Drosophila melanogaster: one gene and its partners. The protein of the gene in region 1 interacts with the protein of each later gene in a pairwise test. Each region holds a gene or a part of one and is shown in the gene's direction. Other genes may lie near its edges. The genes, in order: LpR1, CG13634, 7B2 and CG13678.

Region 1 (4,716 bases):
CGGAGAATCCATGACAAATGCAGATGACGCCCAAGCACCGATGACGATGGTGATTGCAATGCAATCTAATGGCTGATATGATGGTGATTGTGATTGCGGGTTTGATTGAGATTTCCATTGGTACTGGGATGCTGCTAGTGCCGATAATTGTTTTGAAGATGACGCATTTTAAATGACTGACCCTAACCGAACCCATTGTCCGCTGGCTGCGATTTTTCACCGCCTCTTATCATCGACGTCAGTCAACGCAACTCTAACCAAGCCAAAAGCCAATGAAATCAAATCCACGACACTCCAGTTCAATTTCGAATTTCACACCACTTTCAATCGGACCCACACCTGGTTTGATTGAAAGCGGCGACACTTTCAATGCTAATGAGCTGCGATTCCGTTTACCAATCGCCGAAAGGCATTTCAGTTCGCATCGGTCTTCGCTGGGCATCACACCGTAAAACCTTCCGGGTCCCAAAAAAAAATCAAAAGAATTAAGTATATTCAAAATACCTATTTGATACCTGGATATAGTTTCGGTGGGCCCATGCAGAACGTCACGACTGTCGTACGATTATCGGCACAATTCTCACGTCCGGTTGTCCAGCTTAATTAAAAAATATCTTTGTTTTTCGCACTGATAAACGCGGTGGCAACGCAAAAAGGAAGTCTAGATACATACAGTCTGAAAAACGTATTTTCGTACAGTACGATGTTTAAAAGTGATCTCTGTGTGCTGATTGTGATCTCCTTGGCGTTTTCCTTACATTCAGGTTGGTACTGTAGAAAATAGGATTTTTTCCGAGGTCTGAAACTGCTCTTAATTCGGAGCCCTTAACCACTTATTTTTAATTAGACTTTAATATCAGATTGAATAATTGGCTGACCAATTACATGTACATCTAAGTACACTTTGTGCGATTACCCTATATAACCTTTGTTGGTTCGCAAACATCATTCTCAAGTTAGCACTTGAGTCCTTCTTTTTCTTTCTCAGGGGATATTTGCCCAACTTGAGTATAAAATAACAAAACGTATTTTTAAATTAAAGTGGATTCTTGGCATTACGACAAGATAATTATCACTACTTATTCAATATATTTCCACGGAATTCTGTCTAGTTGTGAAATCAGTCGCAATATTCCGAAAGTAGTATGATCCCTTATCATAAAAAATACTTTAATTTCTAAGGCGTAGGTTTATAACTTAAGAAATGATTGATCGATTCTTAATAGCTGGGATTCGTTAGCATGTTGCTTTTGTTTTTTAAATAAATTATCTCAGTTGAAGAAGCATTTAAAATTCTTGTAGTTTTTAAACAATGCTTCTGTAATAGTTGTATCTATAGATCGCCCAACGATTCCTTGCCCAATCTATCCATTCACATCAACGTACGCTCCATTGATCACTGATCAACTGGTTTGCCTTAAGAGCACCTTGTACGTTAGTAATCTTTTGGGGAGCTAAGAGTGGAATACAGCATCGATTAAATTCAGAGAGTGCTCCGATCTGCCAGATCACTCTTTATGTATCTCTTCGACGGGGTCTGGTCAGTTTCTTGTCAGTTTTGATAAGGCCACCTTAAGACGGTGCAAAAACAAGCACAATCGCAAACGACAGTTACTCTCGGCTCTCGAATTAAAATCGCTGGCGATTCGCTTAAATTTGCAGGCCAATTCTCTAAGCGAATTCAGTTGAAAAAGGCGCGTTGTGCGAAACGGGCATCACAGTTTTTTGCGGTTTATTTTCAACTTAAAAACCAAATAAAAAACACAAAAGAAACAAACAAAGCGAAATAAAAACAAACCTCATGTAATTCAAACATTCTACAGATTTAAATGCAATGATCTGTTTCTGAAATAAATTTGGAAAGACGCGATTAGCACGTGCCGCACATTCGCAGACACCTTGAAAATACCGCAAAAATAAATCAAAATAAAAGGCAAAACTGATAAGAGTTTATTTATCCGGGCGATTTGACGCGTGCTAGCTACAAATATCGGCAACAACAATATTTAATTAATTTATTTGCGCGATCGGAGGGGGCGTGGCCGTCCGCTCAACTAAATTTTAAATTATACTTCGGCTTTATTAATTGCCAACGTCAACAGAAACGTTTTTGTTTCTCTATAAAAATTAAGGGAAAACTTGTTTTTCTTGCTAATATACAATTATTATCAAATATTTTACTTATCGTTTATAATTTCCATATTTTACTCAAAATAAATGTTATTTCTCGTTAAGTACATATATAATTATTTTCAAAGTTTAATATATAAATGAATTTTCTGTGTAATTTTATGCGTTGCTTTTTTTCTCTCTTCGCATTTTTCGGTGATTTTGTTGTTGTCCGATATTTTTGCTTAAATTTTTTTTTTTCGGCCTTTTCGGTTTTTGTATTTTTTTTTAGCTACGTCGCGTTTTTGTGTGTCGCACGATTTTCAACCAGTTTCTTCAGTCTTCTCATCTCGAAATAAGAAATGTGAAGAGAGACGAAAGTAAAAGAGAATTGGCCGGATCGTGTGTTTATTTTATTTTTTGGCTGGCAAGCGATTCTTCCAATGTTTTTGCGTTAATGCTTGCGTTTATTTTTACGTTGACGCTGGTTCTTTTGGCCATTTCTCTGATTAGATAATCTCTGGCGAAGATCTCACGCTTCCTGCTTAGATAATCTATTCAACCAGGGTCACCAGAAATCACCCCACTTAATTTTCCCCTATCGAATACAGTGTCTATACAAACCTTGTAAGATCGAAGTGATAAAAGTGTGAAAAAAGCATTAAACAGACAGCATAAATTAAAGCAAAAGAAGAGTGAAGGCAAGCAAAATACCGTACCATGGCCATAGAGTCACGCTCTACGAGCACTGCAAGTGAAACCACAAAAACCGCCATAAAATCAACCACAAGCTCAAAATCTCCAGTAACATTCGGTAATCTCGGCGAGAAAAGACGCGCCGAACAGCTGTTCCGCTGCGCATGCGCCAACTTCAATCTCCTGCTCCTGACTTTAATGCTCGGATTCGGCAAATGCTGCACTGCCACGCCCACGCCGCTGAACACGCCCTCAACGAACACGCCCACCTCGGCAGTTAGCCCACATAATCCACAAACGCTGGACGAGAGCGGATCGCTGAGCAAGGTGATCGATGGCAAAGCCTTCATCAACATGGGATTCAAGTTCCTCAACGTTTCCGGAAAGATTGGCACACCCCTCGGCATAGGTGAGAAATGCATTGGCTGATTGAAAAAACCGGCGAAAATAGCGAAAAACCAGAAAAAAAGATCGCACAAGGGGGGGCACAAAGTGCGATGTTTGTTTATAGCCTAGCTTGTGCTAATTTTAGACCACAGATGTCGTCGAGGTTGAAGTCGAAAATGAAGTTTGGATACCCTGGCTTGGGGTATATATAAAATGATTCATTTAATCTTTTCAACTTGATGCCTATTTACAAATATGTAAAATGAAAAAAAATTTGTATTAATAACTGCGTTGTAGAACAAAGTAAAGTACTTAGCTTGAGCTGATAACTTAAAATTAAAGCGCGTGCAATCGAATTACAATTTAATCGTTAAAGAATTATCAACCAATGCTAAGAAGCTTTTCATTAAACTTTATTAAGCTGATAGTGTTTGAGTATTTAGTTATTAAATTATCCCCAAGCCATTGAGCAATGTAAACGATTATTTCAAAATATTACATTATCTTCGCAACTCCAAGCAATCCTCTTTGAATGGAAAGTAAGCAGTTTTGACTTATATGAGTCAATAATAACATTTAAGATATATGGCCTTTCCATTATACTGCTTAATTTATAATCATCACAATCTTGGTCACAAGGGTATCACCTGCATGTCGAGTCATTCAAATGGCTTTGCTCACTTCACACTTCGTGCACTTAAAATGGGCTCAGTTAAAAAGATACAGATACAAGCACTAATGCAGTTGCAGATACAGATACAAAAGTGCACCTTCCACTTGTTGCACACACACAGACGGTATGCGGACCTACTGTTACCGTGGTATCGAAATAGCCGAGAATTTTTTATCCACTTCCGCATTGATTTCCGCCTGGCTGACCATCGAGAATCTGTATCTTCTAATGGCTAAGCGATAGGAAAAGCGTTTGGCGTCTATCTGTGACGTTATTTTGTGGCGCGGGGCATTCCAATCATAAATCTAACTTTAAATCTAGCCACCTGTTTTGGCCAATATGGATTTACGTTTAGTGCTAGCCCCGAACTGGGGATTATCTTATCGGTCAATTTTACGATTTGTTTTTATGCATTTTTCGACCGCCGGGATTTCGCGACTTGAAGATAAGTGGACAATAAAGGGCAGTCAGACAATAGAAATTTCCTTCTATAAATCAAGAATTAATGGATTGATAGTGCAAGGAGCTTTGAATTGGTGCCATAAGTCATTCAAATGATCTTGAAAACATATAGATAAAAGAATATGAAGTGTGAAAACTACGATTGTTATAAATTAATATTTAATTTTTAAGACGTATTAGAGCAGTTATCCTAACCAAAATAATTTATTTTTATTGTTCACACATTTTGGTTTGAAACTATTTTTAAATAGCTAAATTTTTTAAGCAGTTCGCACTTTTGAAAATCAATCAACATATTGAGTGCCAAAAAATAGTCTTAAGGCTAAATCTGCCACATTTACTTGCATTTTTGTACTTTGCTCTTGGGAATCTTGGACTTTGCTCTATAT
Region 2 (4,343 bases), 970 kb from region 1:
GATAGAACTACTGTGGCAAGCTCATACCTCAATGGAACTTCTTCAAAGAAATCATTTTGATTTAATGGAATACCCATCAATGGAATGTCTATCTTACTTAACTTGCACTAGAAACTAAGTAATATATCATATTGAAATCCAAACAAATTCAAACACCCATCGATTTCCCAACCTACTTTTGAATGTAGGTCGATCTTCAAGTGATTGCTTTAGGCATTTAAAACAAATCGAGCATCAGTCCAAGAAAGAAAGACAATAGTGTTTCTTTAAGGTTTTCCATCCGTTGTTTGCTTACGGAGCCCAATCAGTCGGGCCTCCATGACGAAGTGCATCCAACACTGACCCCAATTCGAGTCCCTTGCCTGACATTTGGACAAACTGGAGCAGCAAGCGCTGCGATGCACCACCATGTGCCATCTGGATTTGCTCCGTCGCATCCGAGAACCATTCGAGATAGTTACCCTTAATTACGTGCCCGTAATCGCTGCCGGTTTGGTTCGGCTCTATCGGCAATACACCATGCCAACTTCCAGTTGGTATGAAAATAGAGAAAAACTTTTGGTGGAAACGCAGAAAGCGGCACCGTGCCGTCCCTTTTCTCCAGTTTGGGCCATAAGAAGTGCAGAATGCTCGACTTTCTCCCCCCCAAATCGGGGGTTATATAAATCTTGACAATGATACATTCAACTGGTTGGATCACGGATTTGGCAATTCTCTTCCGCTTTTTGCGCGCACAAATTTTTGATAAATTGCAAAATGTGTCGCTGAATCGCGTTCGTTAAGTGCAAGCAAACAATTTGTCAAATCAAATTACAGCAGTTATTTAGTGTAACTGTCGTGTGCAAGCAGCTAAAAAATTTAACAAAAAGAAAAAAAAATCGCAGCGGCAGCCAGCCAAGCGATGTCACCTGCCACACGTGCGCAGGTGCAACAGGGAACCACTTTTTGGATGGGTTACCATAACTAAGGAATACTCTATATCAGAAAGATAGCAATACCATTTATGAGATATTTCTTTAGCTACATATACCAAATATATCAATGATCATAAATGACGAATATTAATATCGATCATAATAGCTCTTCATATCATTAGCGTAATACTTTTTTCAAAGAAAGGTTCCACTGAATTTCCACTTTAGTTATTAAAAATGCAAGATTTCTAATAAATTATTTCTCAATTCAATTAAACTGCAGATATGATGCATATTGAACCATTTGTACCTTATATAGTACCTATGGGCCCACACCCATTAGGCCCTAATTTGTATGCGCAATTGGTGCCAATTACAAGTGCAATTGGGAAAACAAACTGTGGCGCTGGGTGACTGACTCATCCGACGGATTGATCAACTTTGAACCCTGGCGAACAATGGTGCACATACTCGCAGAGATTACGACGCATGCGCGCCCGCAACTGACATTACGAAACTCCAGTCGTGTGTTTACCTTTCGGTATGGTATCGTATGGTTTGGTATGGTATGCTATTATATACATATAAGGTATATGTACTGATCTAGTTTGCAGCCGCCCAAGGGAGCGGTGGGTGGTGGACTGAGACCCATGGGCTCGCAGAAGACAATGCTTTTCTTTTTCCAAATTGTTTTAGCTGGCGTCTTTTTTCTTCTGTTTTTTTTTTTCGTTTTTCTGTGTGTGTGGCTCGACTTGGATGACTGGGACTCCGAATCTCTGTCTCTTTTTTAACTCTGGCTATGGATCCGTCGTGGAAAACACTTTCACTGCACATGATGAGGCAGTGACACGGTCGTCACCATCACGATGGCTATGGCTATGCTCTTCTCCGTCTTCTTGTGGGTGTCTTTTTGGTTTTGGTGGCAATGGAAGCGCGACCGAGCCAGTTTCTCGCTCCGCTTGGTCTTGGGAGTCGCATTTTCGGTTCAGCTGCGGGCGAGTTCGGAGGTGTTTTCTGGCCAACTTAAGGATTCTTTCAAAAGATAACCCAACAACATTGTACTATTAAGATATTACAATCCAAGTTCTGGAAAAGTAGCTAACATAAATTGCAGTTTAAATTTTATTAACGAACGAACTGAAATATAATCGACAAACGTTCTTTATATAAAAGAAGAAACGCATTACCATTTGATAATAAATATTTTTGAAAAACATTAATGTGTCTTGTGATTTTGTGAATAAAAAGTTTAAAATCCAGTGAGAACTAACAGATTTCAAAAGCCTAAAAAACAAGGATTCTAAGGACTTACAGCCTGAGTAAAAAAGATTACCCCACTCCATGTTTGGAATACCGCCATGTCAGGATACGTGAGCCGGGATTTCAATTGGCTGTACTTTCTGCTGGCCATGTGTTCTCTGCTGGCGGGTAAGTTACCACCACTGCATCGTAGACAATTCTGCTAACACACGCTCTTTAGTGACCCTCTGTCAGCCGTACCAGTTGCCCCACCGATGCTCCAACCGGCTGGAGAATGCACTGGAGCACATGCGTCGACGCAGTGTGCAGACCAAGAGCTCCTCCGCATCGCGCGCCATGTGGGAGCCGCCACCGCAGAGTCCCTACCAGTTGTACCACAGTTTCTACGGACAGCACAGTGATCCGGAGGATGACTTCTACAATGTGGGTGCCTACAGCAGCGGACGTGGCTATCACGCCAAGTTGCTGCATCGAAATGGACAAGCCAATCCCTTCTCCGATTCAAGCAGTGCACTAGAGCTGGAGGATTTGCTGGCGGTGAATCAGCAGAGCCAGCAGCACAGACAACCACACAAACTGACAATTTCCCGGGTGGATGTGGAGGATCTCAAGGTGCGAGTGCCGCCGGCGAAGTCCGCCAACCGGTGGGTTGAGATCGACAAGTGCAAATTCAGCACTGAGAACTCCACGCTGGACACCCGCCTGATCTTTCCGGATCTTACTCTCAGCGGCAAGGTGGTGATGCAGCCGATGGGCGGAAAGTGTCACATGATTCTGAGACTGCGACACGCGGGCATCGAGTTTCGAACGGTTCCACTGGGATCAGGACACGCCTCCAACTACGAGCAGTCCCGGAGATTGGGAGCCGCCTCGGTGCGCACGGACTCTCATTTCGCTGAGCCCGGATTTATATCGGTCTTTGCTCACGGATGCCAGGGACCCACTGGAATCCGTCTGCGCCAGAACTCCAAGCGGAGATTCGGTAGTGCTCCGGAAGTGGAACTGGGCGAACCGCACGTGATACTGGGCAGCAAGAGACCACAAAGGTGGGGCAAATACCATCAGCAGGCGGGTTATGATATCCGCCAGGGTCAGGTGCCGCAAAGAACTAAGGAGTACAGCCTGGAGCTGGGCAGCGATAGCCAGGCCCAGGACTCGGGTGAGTTCATCGATGTGAACGGGGACAACTTCTACCGGCGGCAGTTCAGCAAAAAGAGGAGACGCCGGCGGCGCTACGCCAAAGAGAACTTCGAGGACCAGGTGAACTTCAGCGAGGATGTGCTGCACTTCGAGGATGAGCAGCTGCAGCAGCTGGTGGAGCCGGATGCCAGAGCCTTTGCAGATATATTCAGCGGCAGTGGCTCCAGTCCCACCGGAGATCGTGAGGAGCTGGTGGGCGAGGCCATGTCTCACGAGCTGGAGAAGCTCTTCTCCATGGGCGTCCGTGGCTTGCTGACCACCTACATGCAGCGGGCGCTCCAGCCGGCCATCAAGGAGACCCTCATGGAGAACATGGGCTACACCCTGAGCTATGGCTAAGACCACCACCTCGAAGGACTCCTAGTTTAAGCCCTATTTATGTACGTCCGATGCGGTTGAAAATAAAAGCTTTAAGCGAATCTTACCAACTTGGCCGTATCCATGGATCGATCGGTGGTCCGGATGCACTCTTGAACTTGTTGGATTTTCACTAATAGGATTTCACCTGGCTGCTGCTCATCAATACTCCTCAATTATTCAGAGTTCGATGGCTTTCACTTGACGTTGATGGTGATCAGCGCGCATTCCGTTGCCTTCGTGCAGTTGGTTCTGAGTTTCCGTTGTGACTGGTCGAGGGCACCTGGATAGGATGCCAGGCAATGCGGCCGGAGTCACCGTTCGGGGGTTGATGCTCCTGAAAGCTGGCCAGGATGCACTACGCAGCCGCGTCACGCCTCCGCTGCCCGCCGATTGGTTAATTCACTTTAAAGGGGAAAGACCAATGGCTTGGCTGCGGGGCGGTAATTAGGAGAAAATATTACAAAATTTTCAGAAAGTGGTTTGATTAGCTTTCAAATTGAAATAAAGGAATGCAAGGCTAGAAGCCAAATATTTGAAATAATCTTTAACATATAGGTTAAAAATTATTTTAAAATCCTAAAGCTTGTTTTAATAAATAAAATATTCATT
Region 3 (3,653 bases), about 20 Mb from region 1:
TACAAGCTTCTAACCTAAATTAAACAAGCGCATGTTGTATCGTTTTAACTATTAATAAAATCAAATGAATAAAAAATCTTTTTGCGCTATAAAAATGTATCTGACTATCGGATTCACCGATAACAAATCGATTAAGCACTGTCGTTTTTCCAACTGTTTTATGATCTGGTAACACTTTCCGTCGCTGCGTTTTATGCTAAAAGTAAACACATTAACTTGATAAACAATGAACCTCGCCGACGTTTGCCGTATTTGCGCCAACAAAATTATGGGCCACCAGCGAGATCGCAACATATTCATTCACATGCGGGGAAAATATTTGGGTCAACTGAAGCTAATCACGGGAGTGGAGGTAGGTCGTTATGTCAGCTTCCGACCGCGCCAACAATTGTTATTACCTGGAATTTGTTCAGCTGACAAGAAACCAGGGGCTGCCGGAGATTGTTTGCGAGCGCTGCTTCTCCGAGCTGGACCTGGCCACCAAGTTCCGCGAGCGGTGCATCTTCTCGCAAAAGTACCTGCTGGATATCATAAAGAAGACCAGTGATCAAAGCACTGTTCACGTTGAGCTTAGTTCCGAGCCGCTGGACGAGCAACTGATCGATGCGGATCAATTGGAGACGCACTACGATGACGACCAGTACGTTTGTTATCAAGGCACGAAAGAGGAACACCAAGACCTAGAGGAAATCGAGCTGGATGACGACCCCTCTGCCGCTGTGATAGCGGCAGCAGAGGCGGCAGCAGAAGCGGCGCAGCAGGAGGATCTACAGGAGCAGGAAATGGAGCGGGCCGCCAAGAGGCGCAGTAACTTCTTTATCTGCGACGAGTGTGGAACCCTGTTCCACGATGCGTTCCTGTACACCGAGCATTTAAATGGGCACCAGAACCGGCGGGATATGAACCAGTTCTTCCCCTGCCCTGAGTGCCCACAGACTTTTAACAAGAAGGCGCTTCTCAAGCAGCATCGCACCCAGGTTCATTTAATTAACCGCAGGTTCCAGTGCACCATCTGCCACGAGGCTTTCGCGTCTCTGGGCGCTAAGTTGCGGCACGACAAGTAAGGAGGCTGGGAATTGAATGCTAGCGCAGCACTATATGCAACTTCCAATTTCATTTTAGAGCCCATAAGAACGAACGACCTTATCCATGCCTAGAATGCGGAATGATCTTCAGCAGCGTTTCCGAATTGCAGAACCACTTTTCGACACACTCAAAGCAAATCCGAAAGTTCAGGTAAGCTTGTCAGCTTGCGCAGTCATATGTCTTAATATCGTATTTTTTGCGTTTAGGTGTGAGCCTTGCAACATGGATTTTATAACTCGCCGAGGCTTGGTGGCCCATACAAAAACAGCACCGCATAAGCGCCTTGCCAAATATATGCAGGATGAATTCGATTTCATCGAATTGGCAACCTAACCCTCAATTATTACCACCTTCTTTCTAAGTAAATGCTAAGGTCAAAAAAATAAATCATAATTGAGTAGTTCAGTTTACTACTTCGCTACCATAATATTCGACAATGGAGTATCGGTTCAATGTTATTTTTTTATAAGTGTATTTTTAATTTATTGAAAATAAAATTCCTTCAGTTTTACTTTCAAGTCATTTTTTATAGTTCATACTTTTAAATTAAGGAGGGAATGGAAATTTATAGCGTATTACCGTGTAACATAAACCTCTAGTCATACAATTCAAGAAAATAAAGTTTTCTTAGCGACTAAGTTTTCTTATTTTCTTCCAGCATTTTATACTAATAAAGCTTAAAGAGGCCTGAAAACCTCAGCTCCAGCAGTTTGGCGCTAATCTAATTCTCGGCCCCCCACAGGACTGCTTCAACATAAAAGAGCTTTCGAGTACGGCGCATGCGTCCTTTCAGCTGTGGCTGCCATAAGGCAGCTTCGATTGGATCTGCGTATATTTCGCAAATTCAACTGGTAGCCGCCGCACGAAGCACAGAGCCCTACGTCACGTTAGTATATACACGGAATCGGAGCAGCTGCCGCCGAAAAATCAATACCTTACCAAACTTCGACGTGGACGGTTGAAACCGCTTGGAATCGCAATATGTTGTTCCGTTCGCAAAGTAAGTCTGCTGAAGTAATATTTATAGGTGGGTGAGGTAAGAGAATAGCCCATGTTTTTCCAGGTGTGTACATGATGGTGGCGATGCTCGTGGTCGCCTTGAGTGGCTACCAGGTGCAGTCCTATAGCGCCAAGGATATTCTTGCCGATGTCTTGATGACGGATCTGCTGAATCGCATGGACAAAGACATGCAGGTGGGCTATTACGACGTGGGCAACGAGGCAGCCGCTGGCTCCAAGGACAACGTGGACCTGGTCTCCCGGTCGGAGTACGCGAGGCTGTGTGACGGCGGAAGCGACTGCATCCTGCAATCGGGCTCGGCATCGGGAGCTGCCTCCCATCCTTCGCTGCGGGATGACGAGTTTCTGCAGCACAGTTCGCTGTGGGGTCACCAGTTCATCTCCGGCGGAATGGGAGAGGGTCCCAACAGGTATCCCACTATAGTGAAGAACGACGCCGGCCTGCCTGCCTACTGCAACCCTCCTAATCCCTGCCCTGAGGGCTACGACATGGAGACGCAAGGCGGCAGCTGCATTGTCGACTTCGAAAACACGGCCATCTTCAGCCGGGAGTTCCAGGCCGCTCAGGACTGTACCTGCGACAACGAGCATATGTTCGACTGCTCGGAACAGGATAGTGCTGATGTGGGCGGCGACAAGGGTGACCTGAACTCCGCCGTGGAGCAGTACATCATGCAGATGGGCCAGGAGAACAGCCTGAACAACGTTAACAGCCTGGCTAAGAAGGCCGGATATCCTGTGATGCCCGATCCTCGGCTGGACGACGCGGTCATAAACCCGTTCCTCCAGGGCGACCGCTTGCCCATAGCCGCCAAGAAGGGCAACCTTTTATTCCACTAAGGTAACTCGCTGATAACGCGAGCATACACGACGTTTCCATATGGGTGTCTAATACTATTATCTATCATAGCTGGTTATCAATGTTGTCCCGCAAGCGATGTCTAGTAATGTTTCTACCCTTTCCCGAAAATAAAGTTATTCGTATAGTACCAGGGCTCTAAGCCGAAAATATGCGGGTATTGGTCTAAACTTGGGGTAGGGTCTCCACTACCGAAGGTGGGTTCGGATGTAGCTTATCCTTGGGATGACCCAAGTTTGATGAGAGTGAGAAATATCGAATATCTGTTTGATGCTTCTATTTATTGTTTTAAAAAGTTTTACAATCCATCAAATCATCAATGATTATTCATTTAAAAAGAACTATCCTCGATATGTCGTCGAGTGTACAAATAGGCCACTGCGGTTCAGCTCCACGTTGAGTATTTTGTGTCAGCATGCACTGGCCGCGTGTTTCGGATGATCCACGCGGGTATTGACTTAAAGATAACCTAACAAATGATAGTATAGTACATCGCATGAATGTTGCTGCCACAGTGGGCGATCAGCCACCCAATTATTGGCACACATCGACACTGGCAGTGTGATTAGCTAAGCATAATGTTCGTTCTGTTGCCATGAAGCCTTATGAACGACCTGATCCTTCTGAGCCAGAGTGTCCTGGCTCTCACTCGCGTCCCTATACATACTATACAACACAATCCTTCCTT
Region 4 (3,240 bases), on another chromosome or scaffold:
GTTGGTATAGCTGAGTAATGTTTTAATTTTAAACTTTTTACTTATTTTGGTTGAACGTTTTAGTTTAGTATAGACATAAAATTTTAGTAGTAACTTTTAATTAAAAAATACATATATGTTTAGTTAATTTAGTTCATAAGTTATGGATATCCTTGAAGTCGAGCTTGATGCGTTGCTCACTTCTTTTGGTTCCAAAGTCCTCGTCCCAAGCTTTGTCCATGTCAAACGGAGCGATTTTTGTGCGCGACTTTTTGTGGAAATTTCTTGCTTTTTAATTACTTGCCGGCACTCGTGGATACATATACATTATCCCCAGCTCCGACTCCGGGTGCTCTTGCCTTCTCCCAGGGGACTGCTCTTTGATATGCTCCCCGTTCGGGCCACTCGAAAGTTGTGGGCACTCGAGATGGCTGCCATTTGGGGGGCGGATGTGCCATCAAAGCTTTTAGGCGGATTAACCAATATAATAATTTCAGTAGCAAGTCCTCGCCGCAAACTTGACAATGAAAGCAGCCTGGTGGCCAGGAGGGAAGTCAAGTGTCAAAACAAATATGTTTGCCGCCTGCGGTTGCCGTTTGCTGTTCTCAATACATGCCCCGCTGCCAGCTGCATGATTGTGCATTTAGTAGACACCACATCCACATCCCCTTACTCCTCCACATCCACGAGGGAGCACATCCACGGATGGCAATAGGCTGGCTCGTATGCACAGGCACATGGCAAACACTTGAGCTGCACAAAAGGAGGCAAGGAAGTGGCAGGATGCGCGCCAAATCCTTCGCCTGCAACATCATCATCGAAAGCGGCTGAAAAGCAAACCCGAAGGAGAACGGCAACAATTTGCTGTAGTCGTCGAAAAGACCAACCAACTCTTGCAGCAAAATATATTTATATATACAACAAATCAAATATTGTTTATTTAACAAAATTTTTAGGAAAGTGGCCTCAAATAATATAATAGTAATATAGTTTTTATATATTAGAATAATATACATATGTAATTGCACATCATTTTTTCTGTGTGTATGTTGCCACACCCCCTGAAATTCACCGCCCATTTTGAGCGGTGCTTTATAGCCACCATCCACCAATCCATTGCGCTGCTGAAATCGCGTAATTGGCATTTTTAAGCAAAATTCACGCTTCAACACTTTTTCAAGTGTGAGCCTGGCGCAGCAGGAGCATCAGGATATGTGTTCCCGAACAGCCTGCAAGAAGTGGGTGAAGTTGGGTGGAGTTGGGTGGAGTGGCCTTTGTGGTGGTGCATCCTTGTGACGTACGCTTTACCACACACGGCGGCGGCCTGCACTCGATATTTCTAATTAGTGAGTTCTAAGCTCTTTGCCCGCAATTTGTGACATTTATTAATTAATTTCGGTTCTTCCAGCGGTGAGAGCGGATAATTAGACAGTGATTAGCCGGATTTATTGTGGTCTATTAAAATAGGCAAACAGGCGAATGGTAATGGAGCGGAATGACTTGATAATTTCCTGATATCGGCCCGGCATAACACTCATAAATCACTCGAACTTCAGCTACCTTTTCGTTGGCGGTTAAACCCGTAAGACCCATTAAATTGTAAGCCCATTGCAGTCGTCAAGGTCAGGGACAAATCGCCGAGTAACGGACGTTCAGGCACGCACCAAAAATAAGACATGGTCAGGTCTAGACCACGAAAACTAAAACGAAAAAATTGAAAGAAAAAAAAAAAACAAATTCAAAAACAGTAGCCAAGAATTGCGCATGCGCAACGTCAATCGAAAGTCGTTGACTTGGCAACCATCGATGGCTGATCTAAAAGCGTGATCTGCATTGGTAAATAGCTCGAAAAGTGTAAGTGGCTATAAAAGAGTCGTGCAGCTGGCTGTTGGACATCACAAACCAATTGGCCATCTACCAAGTGACAATCCAAAAAGAAAACCAATACATCAACATGTTCAAATTCGTAAGTACAGGAAAACTATTTAGAACGAAGTTTTGAAGGAGAAGGAAGCCTTTATAAACTAATATAAAAAGTATAACTGATATTTAAACAAAATATTGCAAAAGATAGTAGATATCTGAGAAAACCATTTTAAGTAACCTTATAAGAATGAGTTCCATTTGCAGAACTTAAATCATTTTAAATATTAATTTTTGTAGTAATTCTTTTAATATTACTTCACTTAACACTTACATTGAAACTTCCACCATTTAGGCTGCTATCTTCTTCGCTGTTGTGGCTGTGGCTGCTGCCAAGCCTGGAATTTTGGCTCCTCTGGCCGCCGCTCCTCTGGCCTACACCGCTCCGGCTGTGGTGGGCAGTGCCGCCTACGTGGCTCCCTACGCCTCCAGCTACACCGCCCACTCGGTGGCCCACAGCGCCGCCTTCCCAGCTTCCTATGCCGCTCCAGTTGCCGCCGCCTATACCGCTCCCATTGCTGCTCCTCTGGCTGCCGCCTACACCGCTCCCTACACCCGATTTGCCACGCCCTACGCCGCCGCCTACACCTCGCCCCTGGCCTACAGCTCGCCCTATGTGGCTCGTCCCTATGTCGCCGCTGCTGCCGCTCCTCTGCTGCTGAAGAAGTAAATCCATGGATTGTAAACCCTGCGGAAGATATTGCCCCATGAGCTTGGCTCATGGACTGGCATTTATTTTCCATGCAACCCCTACTTGTGATGCATTAAACCGTTTAGAATCTACATGTTATAATTGTTTTTCATTTATGGGTTTATAGCTTTCAAAAGTAATTAACTTTAGCAATCTTAAGGGTATCTCATTTATCAATCCATTATGAGTTCTAGTTACTACTTGCAAAGTACATATTTTAGCTGACTTCAAAACTATTCATATAACATGTGAGATTACAGTTTTATGGATTAGCATGCCAAGCACTGGCATTCGCATATTTAAATGCTCCATTAGCGAGCGGTTTTTTGCGGCCATTCAAGCTAAGCGTTCAATTATTGCTATATGTCGAGGCTGCGGATTGGGCCTGCATATAAATGAGCATGGAAGCCTCTTTCATCTGCGATGAAATTGTCGGGCTCCAGCCGCAGGCTTCAATGAGTTTGGATATGTACTCGTACGTAGTACGTACATCCTGAAGCCTGCGAAAACCGAAATTGCCGCAGCAACCGCAAGCCACCAAAATATGGGTTAGCATCCTTCATTCTCCGTTCTCCGTCCTCCATCCCCAATTCTCGAATTCCTCCGGCTCAAAGCCGAAAACACCCTCACCACCTCAAGGCAAACAG

The links.
Region 2: the proteins of LpR1 (region 1) and CG13634 interact in a two-hybrid assay, tested with the Drosophila melanogaster proteins (one large-scale study listed by BioGRID).
Region 3: the proteins of LpR1 (region 1) and 7B2 interact in a two-hybrid assay, tested with the Drosophila melanogaster proteins (one large-scale study listed by BioGRID).
Region 4: the proteins of LpR1 (region 1) and CG13678 interact in a two-hybrid assay, tested with the Drosophila melanogaster proteins (one large-scale study listed by BioGRID).

The regions. Positions count from the first base shown.
Region 1 is NT_033777.3:25,757,290-25,762,005, reverse strand, and holds the start of LpR1 (lipophorin receptor 1), read left to right. Parts: upstream 1-1,683; 5' UTR 1,684-1,803; intron 1,804-2,720; 5' UTR 2,721-2,829; coding exon 2,830-3,214; intron 3,215-4,716.
Region 2 is NT_033777.3:24,787,720-24,792,062, reverse strand, and holds CG13634 (uncharacterized protein), read left to right. Parts: upstream 1-1,926; 5' UTR 1,927-2,272; coding exon 2,273-2,342; intron 2,343-2,394; coding exon 2,395-3,713; 3' UTR 3,714-3,799; downstream 3,800-4,343.
Region 3 is NT_033777.3:5,374,865-5,378,517, forward strand, and holds 7B2 (7B2), read left to right. Parts: upstream 1-1,915; 5' UTR 1,916-2,067; coding exon 2,068-2,086; intron 2,087-2,134; coding exon 2,135-2,946; 3' UTR 2,947-3,111; downstream 3,112-3,653. Other genes in the region: CG14667 (uncharacterized protein), read left to right, coding at 227-352, 414-1,060, 1,123-1,236, 1,293-1,419. UniProt on the Drosophila melanogaster protein: Acts as a molecular chaperone for neuroendocrine convertase amon/PC2, preventing its premature activation in the regulated secretory pathway.
Region 4 is NT_037436.4:8,220,270-8,223,509, forward strand, and holds CG13678 (uncharacterized protein), read left to right. Parts: upstream 1-1,871; 5' UTR 1,872-1,933; coding exon 1,934-1,945; intron 1,946-2,197; coding exon 2,198-2,572; 3' UTR 2,573-2,684; downstream 2,685-3,240.